3 linked regions of the Bombyx mori genome follow. The protein of the gene in region 3 interacts with the protein of the main gene of each other region in a pairwise test. Links are inferred from orthologs where the notes say so. Each region holds a gene or a part of one and is shown on either strand. Other genes may lie near its edges. The genes, in order: COPA, COPB and COPB2.

The links.
Region 1: the proteins of COPB2 (region 3) and COPA interact in a two-hybrid assay, tested with the Homo sapiens proteins (2 studies listed by BioGRID, with this or other methods). The link is inferred for Bombyx mori from reciprocal best matches to the Homo sapiens genes COPB2 and COPA.
Region 2: the proteins of COPB2 (region 3) and COPB interact in a two-hybrid assay, tested with the Homo sapiens proteins (2 studies listed by BioGRID, with this or other methods). The link is inferred for Bombyx mori from reciprocal best matches to the Homo sapiens genes COPB2 and COPB1.

What each region holds. Positions count from the first base shown.
Region 1 is NC_085132.1:3,507,760-3,516,081, forward strand, and holds the start of COPA (coatomer protein complex subunit alpha), read right to left. Parts: upstream 4,535-8,322; 5' UTR 4,424-4,534; coding exon 4,196-4,423; intron 2,309-4,195; coding exon 2,192-2,308; intron 1,724-2,191; coding exon 1,487-1,723; intron 942-1,486; coding exon 789-941; intron 8-788; coding exon 1-7. Other genes in the region: exosome complex component CSL4, read left to right, coding at 6,705-6,875, 7,272-7,520, 7,847-8,092. UniProt on the Homo sapiens protein: The coatomer is a cytosolic protein complex that binds to dilysine motifs and reversibly associates with Golgi non-clathrin-coated vesicles, which further mediate biosynthetic protein transport from the ER, via the Golgi up to the trans Golgi network.
Region 2 is NC_085119.1:977,601-985,493, forward strand, and holds the end of COPB (coatomer protein complex subunit beta), read right to left. Parts: intron 7,756-7,893; coding exon 7,610-7,755; intron 7,020-7,609; coding exon 6,879-7,019; intron 6,276-6,878; coding exon 6,126-6,275; intron 6,060-6,125; coding exon 5,971-6,059; intron 5,899-5,970; coding exon 5,705-5,898; intron 5,636-5,704; coding exon 5,436-5,635; intron 5,165-5,435; coding exon 5,032-5,164; intron 4,828-5,031; coding exon 4,681-4,827; intron 4,278-4,680; coding exon 4,116-4,277; intron 3,842-4,115; coding exon 3,696-3,841; intron 3,551-3,695; coding exon 3,461-3,550; intron 3,128-3,460; coding exon 2,975-3,127; intron 2,353-2,974; coding exon 2,266-2,352; 3' UTR 2,193-2,265; downstream 1-2,192. UniProt on the Homo sapiens protein: The coatomer is a cytosolic protein complex that binds to dilysine motifs and reversibly associates with Golgi non-clathrin-coated vesicles, which further mediate biosynthetic protein transport from the ER, via the Golgi up to the trans Golgi network.
Region 3 is NC_085107.1:19,808,812-19,817,352, forward strand, and holds the start of COPB2 (coatomer protein complex subunit beta 2), read right to left. Parts: upstream 5,791-8,541; 5' UTR 5,661-5,790; coding exon 5,658-5,660; intron 5,472-5,657; exon of another isoform or gene 5,457-5,471; coding exon of another isoform or gene 5,445-5,456; coding exon 5,286-5,444; intron 1,764-5,285; coding exon 1,571-1,763; intron 1,174-1,570; coding exon 1,025-1,173; intron 593-1,024; coding exon 418-592; intron 240-417; coding exon 53-239; intron 1-52. UniProt on the Homo sapiens protein: The coatomer is a cytosolic protein complex that binds to dilysine motifs and reversibly associates with Golgi non-clathrin-coated vesicles, which further mediate biosynthetic protein transport from the ER, via the Golgi up to the trans Golgi network.

The sequences.
Region 1 (8,322 bases), on a different chromosome or scaffold from region 3:
CCCAGGCCTGGAAAAGTGGCATATAATTCAAGTTGTAAACTCTGAGTACATCATTGCATGTGGGGAACCACTGAGGTGTTTGGTGAGGGTGGTTTACTTCTAGGAAGTGGTGGTATATCATTGGCAAAGTGATCTTGAGAGGTAATTTTGTGGATAGCAGCTAGTCTCGGCATTCAGTACTCAACTTCAAGTTTATTAGAAATTTAGTATAAACATATTGGACATTATTATATGAATTGTAGAAATAGTTTTTTTTTCTATGCTATTCTATCAGCCCATGGATGTCCACTGCTGGACATAGGCCTCCCCCAAGCCTCGCCACAAAGACTGGTCTTGCGCTGCATGAAATAGTTTATCATTTATTATTATGAAATAATTAAAATAAATAAGGTTTTCAGACAGATAGCTTTTAAATATTTTAATCGGACTCAGACAGAATGCTTTGTCACTTTCCTGCAAATCGATTTTCGCTAATTTGTTAGGCGGCTATAAACTATGACGTCATTATTCCAGATGATATAATGAAGCTTATAATTTCCGTATTCTTGAACAGACTGACTTTGTTTATATTTAATTTTTTTTTCTCCATCTTATCCCACTAGGTGGGGTTGGCATGGCACTTTGTTTATATTTAATAATTTTCCTAAATTAAAATAATTTCTTTATTTAATTTGGTTCATTAATCTAGTAGTTATTAAAGAGATGTACATATGCTTATTTATTAATAAGGTATTTGTCAGACATTATTGGTGACAATGACCTTCATAAACTATACACTAAAGCCTTACCTTAGAATCATTCATTCTCCAAAGCTTCACTTGTCTGTCATCTGCAGCAGATGCGATCAATGGTAAAGTAGGATGAAAACAGGCCCAGTTTACACCCCTATCGTGGCCCTCCAAGACGTGCTTCACAACAGCATCAGCCTGCATGTACAGTTGCTTTAGCAACGGAACCGCAGGGATTTTGATTAATAAAAATAATTAATTAAATAAAATAAAAAATCATAATAACAAATAGCTGTTTTTTGTTTGAATGAGATGAACAGAAAATATATTTACAAAGAATGATTGGATGATTGTGTATGGAGGTTTGGATCAAATAAAAAGGATGTATTTGGATCGTTTTGGGATGTTAGTACAAGTAGATATTCAATAGATACTGGTTAAAAGTAAATAATTACAATAAAACAAACAAAATATAATTAATACATATTTACAAATCAATAATATATGCTGGGTATATATTTTTCATTTTCAAAGAATTATTTTAACTCACCAAAATCCCAATAAAGATAATTTAAAAACATTATTCAGTACATAGTCGACACATAGTGTCATGCTGTGATTAAAGAAAATTAAACATATGGACATCTTGTAGATTAACCCTAACTTCGGGATCACCATTACTTCCTCGGATATTTTGAATGCATAGCCATAATCCCTGATGAAAGCAGTGACACCAATTGACCAACCACTAGCGTTACCTGTCCAAAAAGATCTGTTGCTTGTGGATTCCTTAAGTGTTCAGTCAGTCCAGCAGGTCCTGGAGCAACACTCTTTTTTCTCAGTCCAGAGAAATCCCAGACTCTTACAGACTGGTCTAATGAAGCAGAAACAAGAAGATCTTCAGTGGGATGGAATTGAGCACACATTACATAATGGTTGTGGCCGGTGAGAACACTTATGCATTGTCGAGACTGCCAATTCCAAATTCTTATGGTCTGAAATAAAGCAATAAATTGATTTTTTTAGGCTACTAAATAGACAGCACAATGTTTTAAAATTACATAACATAATCACAATAATATACATGAGATTAAACTACAAAAGTTAATTTTTTTTTATTACCTCTACAAATACTACTGATGCACTAATGCAACAAAAGTAATTTGATAGCTGTTAATAATTTTGTATGCAGCCCATGATCTGGTTACCTACAATGGTGGATTATTGTATTGTATGTACATATTTGAATATCTTCTAGTAAATAAAAATGAATATATTATTTATTATACAAATTACACTTAATTCATTCATTAATTAAGTAGCAAGTTCATTAGTTTCATCGTAAAAATTATGATGCCTAAATAATTTAGTTGCAAAAAAATGTACAATCTATTTAGTAAAATTTAGCCTGTTTATGAAATGCTTACTTAAACAGATATGCTTTAAACAATGAATTTAGTTACCTGATCATCAGATGCACTTAAAATCCATGGGTATTCATGATGGAAGAATGTTGTACGTATATAATCCAAGTGACCAAGCAATGTGAATAGACATCTTCTTTGTTTGTAGTTCCAGACCTGATAAAAAAAAATTGTGTTAATATCATAATCAAATTCAAATTCAAATTCAAAATCATTTATTTCAACTTAGATGTCAGTATGACACACTTGTTGAATGTCAAAATACAAATAACAATGTTAACTCTACCACCAGTTCCAAAAAAAGCCACAGTCCTGAGAAAAACCGGCGAAACAAACTCAGCGGGCTTTTTTTTTTGTTTTTTCTCAAATATTTTCTTTTTTTTTAAATAAATAGAAATATTCACAATAAAAGAAAAAACAAGTCAAAAAAATACAATAAAAATAATAATATTAATAATGAAAAATGAAAAGGCCAGGAGCGAGCGCCTCATTCCCACGTAGTGCCATCTAGTAAATAATCCTTAACTTTATAATATGCCTTGTTGCACAAACATTCCTTAACAGTTTTCTTAAATCTATGAACAGGTAGTAGTTGAACGTTTAGTGGGATCTTGTTGAAAAGAAATCAAAAGCCATTACAAAATAGTCAAACCATTCCGGCTAAAGCTTAGCTTTTTAAGGTTTAAATGTATTTAAAAAACCTTTTGTGAATTATGAAAAGTAAATTGAGATGTAAATAAAACCTTTATAGTTATATATACTGCAAGTATGGCTTCCTTGAAAGTCTCAGCATTATTAATTTTTTTCAAACACAATATATAATACAAATTTAAATGATTTCAATTATTTTCAATTCCATAGCTCTACACTACATAGTCTTACAGGTGCTAAAACACATCATTAAAGTGCATGATTATATACAACTGACTATTTTTGGGACAGACCAGTTATGCGTTCTGACACAACAGTAAAACAGCCTTTACAATAATTTAATTGATACTTCAAACTCATATTCTACCGTAAGTGATGCATGTTTTAACATCTATGCTTCTAATACTCTAGTATCCTATGTAGATGTAGTCACTACAAAAAATGTTTGCTGTGAGTTATTTTAAAACACATAATAAAAAATAAATAAAGTAGAATTTAGTTAGTAAAAGAATGAAATCTTTAATGACAAAAATATTTTAATTGTTGTGTAATTATGTGCAATTACTTTTATTTTAGACTACAACCTTTTCAAACTACTTCAAGTACTTCTCCATGGTGTACTTATTTATTTATTTATGCAAACAATAAACACATCCAACAATTCAAATCCACTCAACGAAACCCTATCTCAGATCTTAATAATGAATGGCAATAGCTTATCCACTGTAATAATAACCTCGGCTTATTTTCCAACCTAAATCTTTCTCTAATTCCTATTTTCAGTATTTATGAAGAGTTGCAAGCTCACATGAGATGAGATAATATGGTACCACTCTCCCATCTACTGCTACCTTTTTCATTTATTTATTCTTTATTAGAGCCACACACCTATTAGGTGAAGTCGGCTTACTGCTAGTTTAAATTCTTAAAATTTGTTTTTACCAAAAATATTCCACATAATTCTAATAAAATAGAAACTTTGGTTCTAGTATATAAATATAGGCAGTGAGTAGCATTCACATTGTGTTCAAACTTCAATAAACGCATTATACAGTACTAGCTTTAGAAGGGCATTTTTGTTGCATGCATTTGGACAAAATACTTGAAATTATAAAAACCTAAGTTTTGTTAACGAATCAGTTCTTTATCAAAACAAAAATGGTTAAAATTTGTAATATCAGTGCTTTAAATTTTGAAACTAAACAAAATAACATTGTCTTAATCTTAGCTTACTTATAAAATTATTAAAATCTAAAAACATTTCGCCTTCGCAAAGATGCACAAAACCAAACATTCCATGCCCGGAATACGTGTCAAAAGCATGACAGATTAATATCAACAATAATTGTAATTATACTAGCAAAAGAACTAACGGCATATTAGGGCTTATACCTTAATCTTGTAGTCATCTCCGCCCGACACGAAAAGAGGCTGTTGAATATGGAAGCAAATTCCACGTACTGGACCATCATGTTCATCAAATTTCTCAAGTAATGTACACATACGATAATCCCAAAGTTGAATCACACCATTGTGCAAACTAGCCAGCACCCATGGTCGCTTAGCATGAAACGATATGCCTTTCACCCGCGCAGACTTCGTCTCGAATTTTTTTAACATTTTGATTCAAACACCGCTGAAATAATACGAAAAACTACAAAAATTAAAACAAGCGCAATGACAGCCAACCGGCTGACGTGACACGTCCAACACAGAATAGTGCTGAGCTTGTAATTGATCAAAATTGAAAATATCGACAAATCTGAACAAAACTATCGATGTTAATTTGATCAAATCATTAACTAATTTTGAATGGAAACGAATAAACACACCAATTAAAATCACATATTTCGTATCTTCTTAATGGTTGTAATCATCAGTATAATTAGCGTTATTAAAAAACTTTGAGAGTCGGGTAGCCTGGTTGAGTTAAATTTATCTTTCCTGATGAATCAATGGTTAGCTTTTTTATTTATTGCTTAGATGAGTGGAGGAGCTTACAGCCCACCTGGTGTTAAGTGGTTACTGGAGCCCATAGACATCTACAACGTAAATGCGCCATCCATTTTGAGATATAAGTTCTAAGGTCTCAAGTATAGTTACAACGGCTGCCCCACCCTTCAATCCGAAACGCATTACTGCTTCACGGCAGAACTAATGCTGGTACCTACCCGCGCGGACTCACAAGAGACCCTACCACCAGTAATTACGCAAATTATAATTTTGCGGGTTTGATTTTTATTACACGATGTTATACCTCCACCTTGGGAGTCAATCGTGAACATTTGTTGAGTACGTATTTCATTAGTAAAATTGGTACCCGCCTGGGATTCGAAACACCGGTGCATCGCTCAACACGAATGCACCGGATGTCTTATCCTATAAGCCAAGACGATGTTAGCTGTGAGTGTTTTGAGTTAATAATATAAATAAGGTTCAAAAATCATTTATTTCAACTTAGATGTCAGTATAACATAGATTTTCACGAACCATATCGTAGCACTAACAATAATCAGTAATTAATTATGTAGATAAAATATATTATTATGGCTAGTAAGATTTTACGAAAATAAGTGAGAATATTTTGCATCATCCAAGTCGATTATGATATTTTAGTAGATGAAATAATAGAGGAAAAACAAATACTGGTGGTAGTGGTGGTGGTACCCTCTTCCTTACTAACGTTTTTTCCGTGGTAGGGAGACGAGCACACGTTCCACCTGGTAAGTAGTCAAAGTAGTAAAGTGGAAAGCCAGCAACGCCATTGCTTACTGCAACAATATTTTTTAATTATTTAGACGAGTGAGAGACGAGACAAAGTCCAGGCCCATCTGGTATTAAGTGGTCACTAGAGCCCATAGACATTTTTTGATTCAATTTTTCCTTATTAGGAAAGGCAAGGGGATCTAAACCCATACAGCCTTGTGTGTTGTATATAATTTCTAAAATGAATTTTCAAAAAAGCCGAAGCCAGGTCTTATATGATTTATATTATATCCTGAAATAAAAAAATCATTAAGGCAGAAGCCAAGTCCTTTATAATTTCTTTCTGAAATAAAACCCAGAGACATCGTAACCTTAATGCCACTATCGATCCCTAGATATGAGTTTTAAGTCTCAGTATTAAAGTACAACAGCTGCCCCATCCTTCATACAGAAATGCATTACTGCTTCGTGACAGAATAATTGAATAGGCAGAGTACTGGTATTTGCTTGTGCTGGCTCACACCACCAATGAATGATCTACAGTAAATCCACATTAGTTCCAGTAGTACCAGTCGACAACGCAAATATTTTTATTATTCTTGGTTTACAAGGTCCTCGCACCTAAGGGGCACGTGGAGAAAAGCTTACCTGAGATCAAAATGTAAATAGCCCAACGTGGGTCTCGAATGACGACTCTGAGATTATGAGTCTCATGCTCTGACTGAGTTATCCGGGATTTTACAAAGGGAATGTCACATCTCAACAATTTAAATAAAAATTGATTTCGTTGCGTTGTACGTTTCATGGAAGAAATGTCACCCTCTATTACGAAATGATTAAGCTCTATAAACTTTGTTTCTTTTACTTAATTAATCAAAGAACGAACAAAAAAACATTTGCACTTTTGTATAATCTATGATTTCACTACGCGATTAAAAAAAAGATCATAACCATAGATTATACACCTAATTTATTTGAGAATCTTATCTTCGCTAGAAGTAATAGTGTTCTGTGATCTTAACTTATGTACATAACAAATAACAAACTGTAACTGGAATTAATAAACAACACAGTTCAACACACTATTATAAGACAGTTTACAATTAAAGACACGTTTTAGCTGTGACGAAAATAATCTAACCGAACTTTAAGTTGTAGTTCAAGTTAAATTGTAAATTCTAACCTCTACTACATTATGAATTTGGAAGAAAAAATAAAAGAAATAGGTTCAATATGTATTCCTGGAATGCGACTGAGTTTATCAAACAAAGACAACGTATCAGGGCCGGGAACCTATGAATTGAAAGGATATATTTATGCGGCTTTAGCTGGAATCTTGAAAACAGAAGAGGATGAAAACACCAAAGTAAATAACGTTACAGTCTTTGTATAAGCTGCCACTGATTGCTAAAACGATTTTATTGCAACCGTCATCCGTGCCTCTTTAATTGTGACTTAAAATGCCCATAAATATGCTCTGCAAAACACTACATTACCATGGACGAAGATAGGTACTGTAGCTTAACAGGTATATCATATGGAATTTACTGCCTGTAGAAGACACTTATGGACACTCGGTTTTATGGTCTTTAGTTTAGGCTTGCTCACTATTTCAAGCAGACGCTTCTTTTAGCAGCAGAATATTTTTTTATGCAATAGCAGATGAAATTCTAAATTCACCCCAGAATTCTATTTCAACAAAATAGAAAATGAAACAAATGAAAAAACCTATAAATTAAACTAATGATTGAAAATTTTTTAGGCTAATATAATTTCAGTAGAAAGTTCAAGAACACCAAGTGTTTTACCCAACACAGGTGACATAGTAACCGCAAAAGTAACAGTTGTAAATCCAAGAACTGTACAATGCCTAATCCTCTGTGTTGGCCCTTCAGTACTTGTTAGAATGTACAAAGGAATATTAAAAAAAGAAGATATAAAGGCAACAGAGAAAGACAGAGTTGATCCATATAAATGTTTTAGACCTGGAGATATTATACTAGCTAGAGTTGTATCCTTTACAATATTATAAACTTGTTAGTATTCAAAAAACCTTTTCACTTTTAATAATGACTTACTCTTTGTTTGTATTTGACTCATTAGATGGGTCTTTACATTATGTACTAACCTTATAGTTTGCCTACCACATGAAACACTTGAGCATTGTGGGATTTTGGAGTCACATTTGCTTAGAAATTATGATTATACTGCAAAATAGAATGCAGTTTTGGTTTTGTATAACATCAAACTCTATGTCTACTCAAGCTTGAAAAATACATCTATTATATTCACTGAATATTAAATAATATATAATCATTTTCCTAAACTGGAATTCAGTTACCAATGACGGAAATCCACTGGTACCAATTATCGACTGCAGAAAATGAACTGGGAGTTGTTATCGCTACAGCTGAAGGATCACCGCAAGGGGTCAGCATGGTACCAATAAGCTGGTCAGAGATGCAGTGCCCTAAAACTCTAGTCAAAGAACCAAGGAAAGTTGCTAGAGTTATACCGGAAAATATTAATCAATCACTCTTTCCAGTTCATTCAAAGCAAGACAATCATCACACTGATAAATAATTTTTATTTCAATTACAGACATGTTTTATTTTATTAAATTTTAGGCAAACAATGTATTCATAAAAAATTATATTAACTCTAATCTATTTCTGAAACTTGGAATGTTGATTATGAGAGTAAAACTATTACCAAAGTCAAGGGTTAAAAATTTTTGCTGACTGTTGAATACTCGCAAACTCTGGGTATTAATTTGGCTGTAACCAAGCACATTGGTTTTAGTCTAAGGTAGT
Region 2 (7,893 bases), on a different chromosome or scaffold from region 3:
AAAGAGTAGTAGGAAGTAATAGGAGTAGTAGGTCTAGTACTTTATCGCAGTAAAAAATTATGTACGTATTTGTTACAAAACTACATTTTCGTGGCCCAGACATTGCCGTTGTCCATCCCCTTCTGTCATTTTTGATCTTACGATATAAATTGTTTTAAGGTTTATATTAAATAGTAAATGTTGAATTTGTTCCACAGAAATCGGACGCGCCACTGATGGGGCCCTCGACGCGGGCCGGTCGCGTCCTACAGTTTTGTAACCAATCCATTAACTTATTGCTATTATAATATGAACAAAATATTTTTATTATTTATACTTTTCCACGAAACGTCGTTAACAGCCTATGACGATACAATAAACTAATTTATTTCATAATTTGAATTTGTTTTAATCAACCCCAATTCCCCGACTTTGGTTATTTTACTTGCGTGAACAAATTTTCATTGTGGCTATGTACAAAAGTGTCGGGTGCCGTGCTAAGAGCCCCGTCATCTTTACTTTATAAATATATAGATCTACAGTGGTTTTTACGGATGTTCCGTTATAACTACTGAACCGTACATCCGATTGACTTGAAACTTGGTATCCATGTAGAAAATACACGTATCTACTTAATGGATAGGCTAATATTTAAATGAGTGTTGGACTCCCTAAAAATAATGACAATAAATAATAATGTTAATTTTAAATGCGCAGCGAAGCGGGCGAGTACGGCTAGAGTATTATAATTGGTCGCTCTGGTACGGTTGCATAAACCCTATTTTTTATTATGGTTCGATCTAACTAATATTTTGTAGCTATTCAAACAACGTGGACGGGAAGGTAAGCTCACGGGCTTAACCTGAAAGAATTGCTAAGACTAGCCCTAGCAAGAGCCGTGCTTCGCAGAATCTACCACCTGATCGGAATGGCGACCCACTGAGAAGATCCGGCGAGAAACTCAGTGTGTTAAAGCCCTCTGTATTCGAAGTAATATTTTTTTAATGGTGTGACCAATTTAGAATCCAAAAATACCTTAAAGTAAGTGGCCGACAGGAGAGGAAGAAAGATAAAACAAAAATTACTATACAGTTATATTTAGACTCAAACTAGCCGCTGCCCGCATCTTCGCCCGCGTGGTCGAGCAAAAGTGGCGGTGTAGTTTCCCGTGGGAATGAGATATTTTTTTTAGGATAAAAGATGTCCTATGCACGCTTGTAACACCTAATACTATCACTTTTTTTATTGCCCTTGTAGGCAGCCGACCATACAGCCAACCTGGTGGTGAGTGATTACCGTCGCCCATGGACTTCAGCAATGCCAGGTGCAGAGCCAGACCGCTGCCTACCGCAAAATCATAATGATCAATCAATCAAAAATCAAAATTATGTCAATGATTACTTCGTTTCTTTGTGAAAGAAGGACAAACAAACGAACATGCCTTCACATTTACATATTAGTATAGATATTTGTTTTTTTAGGAACATAAATGTGTTAGAGCGACTTATGGTTCGAATTTATTTCAATTTTTATTTAATTTATTTCTAAGTTGCATTATAATCGACAAGATGCGGAAAATCCCGACAAATATATTTTTAATAAATTAACTAATATGTAGATTCAAAAGTTTTTCTATAATTCCGCAACATAAACTATTGTTTTATTACAATATTTTCATTACAACTTTAAATCGTGTAAGAAATAATTTCTAGCGCTCTTCTTGTCTCTGTACATCTCTTTATTCTTGCTAGCATGATAGCACTGTTGTGGTCCCAACCACGTATCGGGAGGAGGGTTTACATTTTTTTTATTGCTTAGGTGGGTGAACGAACTCACAGCCCACCTGGTGTTAAGTGGTTACTGGAACCCATGGACATCTACAACGTAAATGCGCCACCCATCTTGAGATATAAGTTCTAAGGTCTCAGTATCGTTCCAATAATAAGATATGAATAGGACTTCACTATCACTATCATCACTACATAGTATGAAACAAAGTCGCTTTCTCTGTCCCTATATCTCTATGTATGCTTAAATCTTTAAGACTACGCAATGGATTTTGATGCGGTTTATTTTTAAAGGTAGAGTGATTGAAGAGGAAGGCTTATATGTATAATAACATCCATTAAGTGGTAGAAAAATCAATAATAAATTACAGTTCCCGAAGCGAATCTAGGGCGGGTCGCTAGTTAATAAATAAAAACGTCATGAAATAAAGATAATGTTTATAATTTTTATAATAACGAAAGTAAGGTAGGACGTCGGCGGTGGTCACATCAGCGGCGCTCAGGCGGCCGGCGTGGGGTCCGCGGGCTTCTGGTGGGAAGCCTTCTGCATCATGTTGATCTTGTCGCCCAGACTCAGCGCCATGCCCTGCCGACACACGCGCGGCTCAACCAGCGGCCCGGGGGCAACGCCCTCGCTACCGGCCCGACATACAGACGGTCCCTTACCGAACGCCATTGTTCTTTTTGGCGTAACTTAGCAATTTAGGCGGGAAGTAATTACAAATTAGTTCTAACTAAGTTTTTTTTATGATTCACAAAGGGTTGTGTAAAATTTTCGAAAAAGAAGAAAAATCCTAAATTGGTGCACGTGTCGCCCTCCGCCCCCCATAGTTAGCTGCGTCTGGGAGCGAGGGCACGTGTCGCCCTCCGCTCCCCGTAGTTACCTACATCTGGGCACGGGGGCACGTGTCGCCCTCCGCTCCCCGTAGTTACCTACATCTGGGCGCGGGGGCACGTGTCGCCCTCCGCTCCCCGTAGTTACCTACATCTGGGCGCGGGGGCACGTGTCGCCCTCCGCTCCCCGTAGTTACCTACATCTGGGCGCGGGGGCACGTGTCGCCCTCCGCTCCCCGTAGTTACCTACATCTGGGCGCGGGGGCACGTGTCGCCCTCCGCTCCCCGTAGTTACCTACATCTGGGCGCGGGGGCACGTGTCGCCCTCCACCCCCTGTAATTACCTAAGTCTGGGCGCGGGGGCACGTAGTTACCTGTGTCTTGGCCCGGATGCGCACGTGTCCGAGCACGGGCGCGCCGGGCTTGTGCAGCGGCCGCTCGATACTGAGGTTGGCGAGCGCGTCCTCGCCGAAGATGGACCGCGCGTATAGGTTGGCCGCCATGAACCCGCACTGCCCCGACAGCGCCTACCAGACACAACACAATTTTAATTTCAAAATTTTATGTGACAATTTGACGGTCCAGTCCACATTCCACCTTGCACGAAACATTATCAATGAATTGCTGTTTAGTCTCGTGTTTATTTCACTTTTTTTTAATATCACCTTTCAAGTTATCAGTAGATTAGATCGATCTGTATCAATACCACAGACTGCGTGGGTAAAATTTAATGACTTTAAACTAATTTGTAATTTTTTTTCAAATCACTGTTAATTTATTGGTACCTTATTTTAGCTTATTGTATCTACCACAGTCCTCAAGTATATATTTGTTTGAAGTCACTTAAGGAGGGGGGTTACCTTCTCGGGGGTCAGGCACTTCATGTTGGTGGAGGCGAGCAGATGCTGCAGGTACTCGTGCAAGTCCGTCATGTTGGTGTTCACGGAGACCTGCGGACAGTGGCTGGACGTTACAAACAGAACACAGAGCTCGGAACCAAAGATTAGTTTTTTGTTAAAACAACCGATAGTTTTGCGTCCTCAAGCTACTTTGGTAACCAAGTCGTTCCGCGACCGGCTCCGAGCCGAGACGTACCTTGTTCTCCCATTCGAATTCAGCCCACATTTGCCTGAAGTCGGCGTCGCTGCAGTGCGCCGGCTGGATGAAGTCGACAATGTCAATGTGGATGTCATTCAGCACGACCACGCCGCGGTCCATGGACGCTCCCGTCACTTCGTATACTGAAAATTTAATATTTTTACTTGCTTCGGCGTGTAGAGTGTATATGACACACAGGTTAGTTATGCCTAAGTTGGCAGACGCTGGCGCTTACCCGGGTGAGCTTACAACACTATAACCCATACTAAGGACAGTGGGATTCGTGAATTATGCAAATAGATAATATAATCCTACGCCCTGCGTCTGAAGTGCACTACTACTCCTTAACGTATTCACAAAACAATACGAATACTCTTCCTTTCCTTAAGTTAATGTTCAATGACCCCGCGCACGTACCCACGTTCCCGAAGATGACGCCATTCTCCGTGGAGGCGACCTTGACGTGCGCCCGCAGCGAGGCGAAGTCCCGCGGCGCCAGCACCACCTCGGCCGCGCGCTCCACCAGGCGCAGCTCGCCCAGCGTGGCCAGCTCCACGCAGCAGTTCTGCAGCGTGTCGTCTGCGGACCACGCACACTACCCGCTACTGCTTGTCGTACATTGCATCGCAGTTGTAAACAACGGAACTGCAGTAGGCTCGAAGGACCAACTTTTATGCATGAGCTTATCAGCGATTCATTGAACGATAATAATATGACAGCAAGGTGTTCGTAAGGCCCGGCAAATTATAAAAGCCTATATTTATTATAATAAAAAAAAATTAAAAACTTACATTTATGCGCAATGTATTTTCCCATGCAAACTTATACATTTTTGAGCATAAACTTGACTAGTTTTAATAAAATTTCTAACAACACTGGAGTTGCAAAAACATTTTTTTCAAATTAGTGGGAAAATGTTGGAAGATAGCGGCAAGAACGATATATAATAAAGTTTTGGTTTATTAATAAAGGAGTCTCATACCGGTCTGGTTGACGAGCAGCACGTCCAGCACGATGTCGTACTGGTTGACGGAGACGATGGCTTCCGCGTACACGGGGTCGGAACATCCTGTCAACTGGCGCACGCGGCACAACTTGCCGCGGTCGATTGCCTCGCCACCGCTGCGACCTGACAACAATCACTTTAAATCGTATCGAACTGGAAGAGGGTCGCCAACCAGTCGCGGCTGCGTGCCAGGGGAAGAACAGTGCAGAATCACTGAGGACCGTGGTGTTCATGGCGGACGAAATAATCTTATCAAATACACATTTTGAAGAGCACATCATGAAGTCGACAAACTCTGCGACTCAGCCGTTAGTCCTGTGGGAGTACCTTGCAGCGCCTTGTTGAGCGCCAGCTCGAACATGTCGTGCTGCGAGCCGGAGGCGCCGGCGCCGGCCAGCTGCGAGAACGTGATGCCCGTCTCGATCTCCACCTTCTGCTCCTGCCGTTTCGGTTCACGCTCCTGCCGTGGCCGATATTACGTCTTATTAACTGATGTCTTTAAGCGTTAACATAAATCACATTTTACACAACTAAGTGAGACAAACGTAAGATGAGATTTCACTAGAAGAAAATTTAGATTATATTTGTGCATATGTGTTCTTGATTCGTTTAAAATTTTCTTTGGGTTTAATAGGATGAAGGAGTACAGGAATGTTCTCTTTGCTTTTGCAGATCGGTAACACATGCGAGATAAGGGCCAGATTATCAGTTACGTGGAGCCTGGGCTGTACCTTGTCGACGTCCTCCAGCAGGTGCGGCTCGCGGTCCGGGAGCGCCAGCAGCGCCGCCAGCGCCGCGTCCGACGCGTCCAGCAGCGCGCGCCGCACGTCCGCGCCGCCCGCCCCGCCCCCCAGCCCCGCGCCCGCCAGCCCCGCCTGCACGCACAGCGCCGCGTGCTCCATGTCGTCCGCCGTCAGCCCGCCGCGCTGCCCTGCGCGACAACACGACGGTGAGCGCTCGCCCGGCCCCCCCCACAGCACCGGTGTGGGCGAGGACTCACCTGCGTTCTGCTTGTGGCGCGCCAGCAGGACGGCGGCCAGGTGCAGCGCGCGGGCCGCCTCCTGCCGCGGCAGCTTCAGGGCCAGCTTGGCCAGCGCCGAGCACGCGCACACCGCCGTGAAGCTCTCGCCCTCCAGCAGTGCGCCGCCCAGTCTCGCACCGCCCTCCGCCGCGCCGCCCTCCGCCGCACCCGACCTGCACGCACACGGCACTAGGAACACAATCATTACACTACAAATAACAAGTATGGGCCGTCGCGGCACTCACGCGGGCAGGTTGAAGGCGGACTGCGTGGCGTAGGTGCCGTCGCTGGTGACGAGGCGGCGCGGCGCCGCGGCCGGCCCGCTCTCCGGCTGCTACAAGCACACAGAGATGAGTCGGGTCCGCTTGTGGCGCTGTGGTGGCGGGTGTGACGTCACTACCTGCGTGTCGGCGGCGCCCTCGATGACGTCGGCGAGCACGTGCAGCGCGGCGCGCGCGCGGCCCGGCGTGTCGGCGAACTGCGCGAGCAGCCACAGCGCGGCGCGGGCCGGCCTGCCCACGCGCACGCTGCGCACGGACTCCACCAGTTTCTGCGACACGAGGCGCGCTGTAGTGTGTGCTGTCTCGGCATCACAACGTTATGATATCTTGGATCGACTAATATAAACAAATACATTTTGCAGAACTATTGAACCTATAACCGCTGCGTTCATCCAGTGCGTTTCCAGAGATATTTTTTGCCACGTGCCATCCGGCAACGAGCTCCCCTCCACGGTGCTTCCCGAGCGCTATGACATGTCCTTCTTCAAACGAAACTTGCGGAAAGTATTTAACGGTAGGCAGCGGCCTGGACTTCGAAGACATGAATCCCAGTGTACTTACTACACAGGACCATTCATAGAATATGGTCTGTATCTAGAACTAACCGAAAGCTGTATTCTCCCATCACACTACTCGCCACCTAGTACCCCGTGGCCAGTGGTCATGTTTTACCAAGCCATGTAGGTGCAATTGTTTTCGATGGGTATTTTTCTATTAAAACAATATCTAAAGTCAAAACGACTCTTCCTCCTCGTGGGGTCACCGACCCATCTACAAACCCAAGGACCCAAATACAACAAAATGGGTGAACAAAATATAAGGCGAAGAGCCGTAGTGCTCGTCCAGTTGAGCAGTACGGGGCGGGGAGTAACCTGGTAGATGTGGTCCCTGAGGTCGGGGAAGGCGTGCAGCGCGTGGCGCAGGAACAGCAGCACGTCGTGCGCCGCCGCCTCGCTGCCCTCGCCCAGCAGCTCCAGCAGCGCCGGCGCCACGCTGCCAGCCACCTCCGGGAACTGCGGGACGCAACGGACTTACGCAGCACGCCCACCACTACCCAGCTTTATGACACAATGTTATTCCGTCACAGTTCAGTCATTCGTGAACATGAGATAACTACGTACTTCATTAGACATATGTGTACTTGTCTGTGGGATTCGAACTCCGGCAAAGTCACATGAATCAGAACTAAAGAGCAAAATGAAATTAATTGAATTAAAGTGAAACTTTTATTATATCGTCTCAAACTTTTTCGTCTGTGTGTTGCATGTCGCGTGACGGTCAGCCGCGGAGTAGGGAGAAAGTGCAAGGCGCTCGTCAGAGCAGCCAAGGCCAATATGGCGGCGCCTATAGTTCGCAGCAGCTGACCGTGTAGTATATAACTATTACTGATTTGTGCCAGTGCTCCACGCTATTTTGTTTGTTTTTGTCAGTGTTTAATGTAAATTTTGTTAGTCAGAGTAAAATGTCTATAATGTGAAAAAAGTTTCACTTTTACTGTGGTTTCATAAAACCACACAATCCTTTTTTTCTGCGACGCACTTGTATTAAATAATATTTACGAATGAAGTATGAACGGCATCGTTAGAAGTGGAAGGGAGCGAACCTTGAGCGCGGCCTTGTGCATGGCGCGCACGAGCAGCTGGCGGTACTTGGCGGCGTCGTCGTGGTCGGCGGAGTGCGCCCGCGCCGCCTCCTTGCGCAGCACCTGCACCAGCTCCTCCGCGTGCCGCGCGCTCACCAGCTCCAGCGCTGCGTCATCATACAACACCGATACATCAATGGGACTGTAGCAAGGTGTAGTGCGAGACGCTGAGTGCGGGTTAGAGTTGCCACGAATAGTGATTTGGCCGAATACCGAATACCGAATATTCGGCAACGCTGTCGGCC
Region 3 (8,541 bases):
TCGCCAATTGACTAAAATAACTCACATCTTGAGTAATCATCAAGAAACTCACCCTACAGCGACGTTGTTCGAACCGTGCATGGTGGATATCGTCCATACTCTTTCGAAACCATAATTTAGGGAAGACTTGAGCCTGTAGGTGCCTGCGTGCCATATTCTGAGGGTGCCGTCTTCAGAACCGGTTAGCAGGATCGGAAGCTCGGGGTGGAATGATACTGCTGATACATTCTGAACATGACCTGTCCAAGAATGAGATAAGTTATGTTTGCGTATTTAGGCCCCATCCCAACCCGATGACATTCTGTCGTCTACTTCTCGTAATAAGTCCCAGGAATATATATTTTTATTTGATTTTTTTAAAGCTCGGATTAAATCAATGCAGGACTAAGAAACGCACAATCTTCTATCAAAACTTACCTTCCAATGTTTGTACACATGTCTTATTTTGGTAATCCCATATTTTGACGAGCCTGTCATCAGCTCCACTGATGAGGTAGGGCTTGTCACCGCCATGATAATAGTCCACGCAGTTGACGCCTTTCTCGTGACCTTCTAAAGTGAAGTTCGATATAGAAGCACCAAGTTGCCAAACCTAAAAATAGTACGATAAACATTAAGAAAGTTCAACTATTTTAGACATCGTTACGTGAATGTTGTCCCTTTATGGATACCTTCAGACATGAGGTCAAGGCCCCCATTACATTGTGTAAAAGCTAATTATTTCACCCTTCAAACTAGATGGCATGTCTGCTTCGCGGCAGGATGAGACAGGTTCGTGGTACCTACACATGCGAGCTAACACTCCTCACCATCAGTTTCAGTGCTCATTGCCCATAATCCATTCATCATTCAGAGTCCATGGTTAACCACGAAACCGATACCATCTCTCATGTCCTAAAGTACGCGGCAACATTCTCGTTGTAAGCACTAATTACCACAAGAGCTTTATCGCCTTTACTGATCTATGTCAACAAGAGAAAGGATCTTAACGCAGTTGGCGTCAATACGTCGCCATTATTCCTACCTTCACAGTAGTGTCGAGACTTGCGCTTGCGAAGGTATTGTTATCCTTCGGGTTGATAACGATCTGCATTACGTAATGCGTATGCCCTTCGAATACTTGCTGACATGTCCAATTACGGTCCCAGTTCCACAATTTGATTAGGAGATCATCTGAAATATTGTGTTTATTTGATACTGTATTTTTTCTAAATTCTCTTTGTCAATATGCAGTATGTAATGCTTGATAAGCCTAAGTCATTCCAAGCTCATCATATTTTTTCTCTCTGTTCCTTTCCGTGTAGTAAAATTAGATACAGATCAGAAACCCCTACAATTATTTTCAATAGTTCAAACTATCTTATATCTTACAAGCTACAATTAAAATTAAATATTCCTCAAGTTCATTTAACAGCTTTAAAATAAAACCCAAGGTTTTGTAGACTTCATCGGACAAACATACTTATATATTATTAAGCTAAATAAAATAAATCAAACCAAGTAAAACAGAATTTGTGATTGTTTTTATGCAAATTGTAGACAAGTACATCTATTTCTTTCAAGTACTCACCACTGCAAGTCAATATGTACGGTTGTGTGGGATGAACGGCTATGCATCGCACATAATCCGAATGTGCTTCAAATGAGTGAACCCTCTCCAGGGTGTTGTAGTTGAATACACGTATCTGCATGTCATCTGAGCCAGTTATCACCCAGTTCTTCCGGGGAACAAACTTTGCTGATCTCACCGGGAGATCACATACCTGTTTAAAATAAAACGAATTATTATAAAATTTACTATGTATTGTAATTGGAGGCATTTTGGTTTACTTACAGAATGATGTTTACTCTAATTTAATTTATACGGAGAGTATAAAGCACAGAATTCATTTGAAAATACAAAAAAAAATGTATTCTTAGAAACATGATTTTCAATCACGTTATTTTTTAAGTAATTACTGATGAAGATTAAAACATAGAACAGTAGTTATCCCATGGCAATTGTACTCTGCAATACTCCAACATCATATTTCAAGGTTGAAGACAGTGTATAGGCTCAATCTCTTGACAACCCTCTAATACAGTCAATCAATCAATTGATGGACAGTATATTGATATGTATTGATAGTACAATGAACATATGCACCAAATATTTGCTTTAATAAAAGTCATATGATCAATTCATTTAAATAAGGTATCTATCTGACTTTAATTATTAAATATCCAATAGTGTCATAGAATTCAACTCAATTGTACAATTGTTGTGTGTATGTGTTTTGCTACAAAATGCTTGGTTATTTTAGGTAAAAGTACTGGAAAACAAAGCACTCTCAAGTATTACAAATGAGCAGCCATTTATGTTCGTATCATTAAGAAAATAAAAACAAAAACACAATTTCTCATCTTTATTAAAGATTACTGGAAAATCAAATTATCCGATGAATGCTTAAGCAATGAATGAGATAACATTGACAGTAGAACAATGTTAAATACAGCTGTTGTCCCTATCATTAACAATATAAAAACTTTGCCACATACAAGGAGTCTATTCTTGGACACACTTTAAAGCTACTTAAGTAGCAATTACTGAATAGATGTGTATCAATTTTCTGGTAAAATATATTATAAGCCTGTATGAATAGGTACCGCTGTTCCCATTTTTACTGATTGGAAGTCATGTGATTCAATTTAAATGGAGACTTCGCATAGTTATTGGGAGCGTTCACCTGGTGATGTCTATGGACTCTGTTAACTAATTTTGTCTTAGTGGACTGTGACCTCATTGTGTGACCATCTACGCAATAAAAAAGATATGCTAAGAACAAAGTTGACTGTAGGTAAACATTAACTATTAAATTATGTGAACCTTTCATAACACATTCAGAGAGTATAATGTAACTGAGTTTCAGTTCACTGACTCAAATGCTTTTATTGGCATAAATCAATATGCTATCAATTAATTAATGGTGTTTTGAAATTTGTTGTTACTTATGATTCTCTATTGCTATAATCTTAGATAGCTATAATCTAAGAATCAAAGCTTATATGCTAAAAAGCATGTTTATGTGCAAGTTTTCCATGATTTATTTCATAATATTACATATTTAATAATGATGGATTTCTTTCAATTCAATGAGTACTTTCAATGGTGAAACTGTCATCATTCAGGTTCATAATTAATAGTAGTTGGAACCGATTCTAATATATATGATTAATCTATAATTCATCCATCATGACAAATAATGAATATTCTTGATATCTTTTATTAGAAAACTATTTAATTTTACTTCAGTTTTTTTTTGTGTCGCTGCTGCTATTGTTGAACAGTTTTACGTTTAATTTTTGTGCAAGAACCAAACTACAGAGGAGCTGAAATGAAGTTATAATCATCAAAACCTAAATGAGATGCCTCTGGTAATAATTTCAAGAGATACAAGTGTTCTGATGTTCAAATATCACAGGCAAGTATGAATTTTTGTCGAGCTATTAATATTTATCACTTCCATGAGGGAATATCATCACTATTAATATCAGGTGGGGAGTCAATGAGACCTACTCAGATTAGTGGTGACTATCCCAAAATATTAAATGTCTTCATTGAGGCTCAAATACAGCATCAACCATAATATTACCTTACTTGGACCAATATTCATTACCTTCTTGGTACAGAGAATGCACTCTTCAAGCAGTACCTTTTGCAACCTAAGCTGAAAGCATCTTGGGTGTACTAGTTATCAAATCATATCAACAGGGCTTTTGCATGCAGTTTCGTACTGTTGACCAGAGAAAATATAAATACTTTAGATGTAAATTCACTGTGGAGGTTTTTGATGGCAGAGCTTAATACAATGTACATCTTAATCTGGGAAAACTAACAATTTCTGTCAGGCTAATGAATATTTTGGCCTTGAGTGGCTATATATTCCAGATTATTTTTGAGCTATGAGAAAATAATAATATTGAGTAACAAAGATCCATAGTCATAAATTAATGTAATTACTTACTACTACTAGTGGTAGTATACTGTAGGTCCATCCAAGTAACTGTCACCATTCTACCTATTTCTACAGCAAAGCAAATATGGATTCTCTTTCGAAAGGCAGAACATTTATTACAATTGACCTCACTCATGGTGGACGGAATTGTGAACTACACTGGTTGTCTATTACTATTAGAGCAGTATTTCTGAATACTCTTATCTGACACAAGGCAGGAATAAACTCCAGTCTAAACAGTGAGTAACTATTTTGAAACAAGTGAGAAACATTAATAGCCAAAACCATCCAGGACAATAAAAATTATACTAGTCAGAAAAAAAGAGGTGCATGGCTAATTTAAATCATTCAAGTGTGAATCACTACATACTTTAGAAGAAATTTTATAATGGTAATTAAATAATTTAATTTTCATTACAAAGAACATTCCATTAGATATATCTTATTCACATTTTAGAATTTAACTGACTATTTTTTATATAATTTTGCATATATTTAGAACATATTATTATTATCTCTAACAAACAGTCATAGCTTTTAAAATAAATAAATTCCATGTAATATTTTTATTTCAGTCACTGTTTAACAGATAAAACTTAATTGTTTTGTAATGTAAAGATAACAGAGAAATATATATTTATTATCAGGTTACTTAGGGAAAATATTTTTAACACATTAAGTTTGAATAAGAAATCAGTTTCATAGAAACAGGAGTCCAGATTACGTTCAGAATAGTAAATAATTATGTTTTTATTGTTTGTTTATGGTGAATTTCTTATTTATTGTATTATTCAAGGAAATTGCACAAAAATATGTTGTGATTATGAATAAAGATCATATTTACATAAAATACCTTACAAAATAAATTATAAGTTTTAACTTCGCGTCTTTCAAGACTTGCAATGTGGTGAATGAAATCATGATAAGGACCCTTCATTTGTTTTATAAATGAAATATTATAATATTGATTATCTATGGGAGGAAATTAAATTGGCTATAGCCATATATTGTAGATCAAAGTTCTATGTAATTATCTTAAATTAGAGCTAGCTTAGCAGTGAGTGGCAGTAAAATTATAAAATTTTACAGACACAGATACTTTTTAATACACTTTTCTTAGAAGTACTAGAAGATTAAATCGGCTACAGTTTCATTTCGCATTTAATGTTTAAGTACTATGGTTTCAAAACAGTACAGTTGTTTTCGAAAATAAGCTACGAATTTGAGTTTTGTAAAATTATTTTGAAACCAAAATACTATATTGTATTAATATATTGTACATAAACTGACCTCAAATCTCTTAATTTGAGCGTGAGTCTCATAATTCCATATGTTAACGTCTCCTGAATACAGGGAGCAGAGCAGCCAGGGTTCCGACGGGTGCTGGTCGACGCATTTCACTCGGTCCGACCGCGCCGTCAGCTTCCTCTTGATATCCAGACGCAGAGGCTTCAGAAACATAGCGATACCACGTTATAAATGCACTCAACACATGAAACTACCCTTAATTACAAATGAATTTTTGCATCGCGCAAGTGCCGACATTACAAAGATGACAAAGTGATGACGACTGCGCATTACGTGGCTTTAACTTTTTCGAAAATCTTGTCTTTGGAATATCGATCACTTAAACGCATTTCAGTGTAAAAATTGTTTTCTTACCATTTTTAATGGTTAAAACATGAAAATCGTCATGCAGATTTACAGGACCAGTAGATGTTTGACAGGGTGGGTGGACGTGTCACTTTAGATTTATTCAAAACCGGTTTTATCGGATACGCGAAATTATTACGATTTAGCGGTTAAGTACGGCTTTCGCATCCCAACGAGACATTTTAAGCCATACGAAATTAAAAATTGCAAAGAATAAAATTTTATCTACAAAACTGAAAATAAAATGTAATAAAAAGTTTAATACTACAAAATCTATGTTTCTATGTTTGTTTTTTTTTTTATAACATCTTCATCACAGATCAGTAATATGACCTCCATTTTCTTTCTAGATTTTAATAGTTCAACAAGAAACGTCTGTTTCTAGTGAAATTAATATTAATTACATTTAACTAAATTTTGAAATTGAGAGGTTATTATCTTCTTTTTTAGAAGGTAAATTTATACTCATAAATTACGTAACGTAAATAAGAATAATTGCTAAACAATAAAAATAATCATACTATTCGCCGTCCACTCCTTACCAAAGCATAAAATAATAGTCGTGATAACATTCTTTCGGATGTTCTGGTTTGGAAAATAAGTACGTGAATTTGGTCATTTTACTTCCTGTTACATTATCTCCCCATAAAAACAGTTTAAAGGAAAATTCTCTCATATGGGTTTTTACTCTTCCAGTACAAAATTGTTCAAAATAGAAGGAAGATTGCTTCCTAACAATGGCCAAAAAATTTCAGGAACGCAGTTTCCAAACAGATTGAGATTGGTTATAGAAATTAATGAAAAAGTTATGAGAAGTCGTAAATCATAAAGATATAAATATTATGTATGGTTATTATAGTACCTAAGAGAAAAAAAAATACGTTTGTTATGAAATCTATATTTTAAAAATCGCATATTATTAATAATAATAAAACCTTTGCCTTTCCTTTTTAATTTAGAAGTTGTGCTACAGTAACGCCATTTTTAAATGACTTCATTTGACAAACACAATCGTGGACTGAATTAATAAATTTAATACAAAGTAAATACTCTGCTTCCATGGTGGCACCTTCTTCGTGCCGTCCCTCTTACTGGTGTTAGCGCGTATCATGACCACGAGTTTAAAATACTTTTGTCTCATAGCTCATGTTGGGCACCGGGTTCACATAAATAAGGCACCTATTAGGACATTCTGGTGGTAGGACGTCTTATGAGTTCGCACGGGTAGGCACCACCACCTTGTCTATTTCTGCCGTGAAGCAGTAATGCGTTTCGGTTTGAAGGGTGGGGCAGCCGTTGTACTTTTAAAGTGAGACCTTACAACTCATGTCCCAAGGTGGGTTGCACGTGGGGGCATTTACGTTGTAACATCTAGGGGCTCCGGCCACCACTTAAAATCAGTTGGGCCGTGAGCTCGTTCACCCAACGAAGCAATAAATAAAAATTCAAACGCTACGCTAACGTCAATGGGTTGCAGATATCACTAACAATGTCCTATCCATTAGCCTGTTTGTATTTATACCGCGCAGAGATGAGCGCCGATTATAGTAGAGCGGTGCTGTCTTGAGACTAAAAATTTTCCACTGAATTTCTCGTCGATCTTCTCAGTGGGTCGCGTTTCCGATCCGGTAGCAGATTCTCCGAAGCACTGCTCTTGCTAGGACTAGTGTTAGCAACAATTCCGGTTGGAACCCCGTGAGCGCTCACCTACACGTCAAGGAGAAGCTAAAATAGCCTCTCAAGGCTATCATAAGAAAAAAAAGACTAAAAACTAATACATATAGCACGGTAAGCAATAAAAGGAAAACGTGTAAAATAGACGTAGTGGGGAAAATGTTGTGGAGTGCACGATGCTACACGCGTGTAAAACTGACCCTATGATTTACAAAATTATATCATAACAATTATATTATCTATGTTTGGGCGTGAAACAGGCCACAAAATGATAATAAAATGAAATAACACACAAATGAAACTAGTTGTTTGTATTTCATATTTATATAATTATCTAAAAATATGAATAAACATCATTTTAGTTTTCAACTAATTTAAGTAATGAAAGCATGGAAACATATTTTTGGCTAAACTATACACCACAGAGCCCCAAGTCTTGTAATATTTGGCATATTTATACATTTGAATAGGCTTTTTGAGACATTCACCAACAGTTCATTATAATATTGAACATTATGTTCCTTTAATAATCCAGTCTTTTTATTTTTCAAAGTTTATACATTTTCTGAATTGGGTCTTTGGGTATGTGAACTTATGTTTAGCATAGCATTATTTCTCAACCTTCCATGATAACTAAGTTTGTCATGTAATTCCACATGTTTAAAGAAAAAACAATAATTTAATGAAAACATGTTGTACTTTATATATTAAGTATATGTGGACTTATAGAGCCCGTCATTTTCATGTTAGTAATTATTTTACACAATGTTACCAAAGTCAAAAAAAATAGACAGTACCATAATACAAACTTACGTTCTAAGATTTCTTATAAAAGGTTAATAATTACTCTGAAAAAAATGTAATGAAATCGTTACAAATTAGAAATATTATTTTATTTTAATGTCATATCTATTTAGTAGTAATGCACAGTAAGCAACTTCTTTTAATATACTTTTATTCTAAATTGGTCAATTATTTAGTGTATTATAAATAACTATTAGGTGGCAATTAACAGGATGTATTGACTTTTTATTATTTTTATCCTGTTTAAGAACAAATTAGTGAAGATTTCAAATTTTATCTATTACGTTTCTTCAGTCTTCATAGCACATAATTATAAGGTTAATAGTTTGATAGTTTATTAAGTTGCCAAGATTTTATTGAACAACCTATTATATGAAAACTATATATAATTTAAATGACAATGTATGTTAATTCG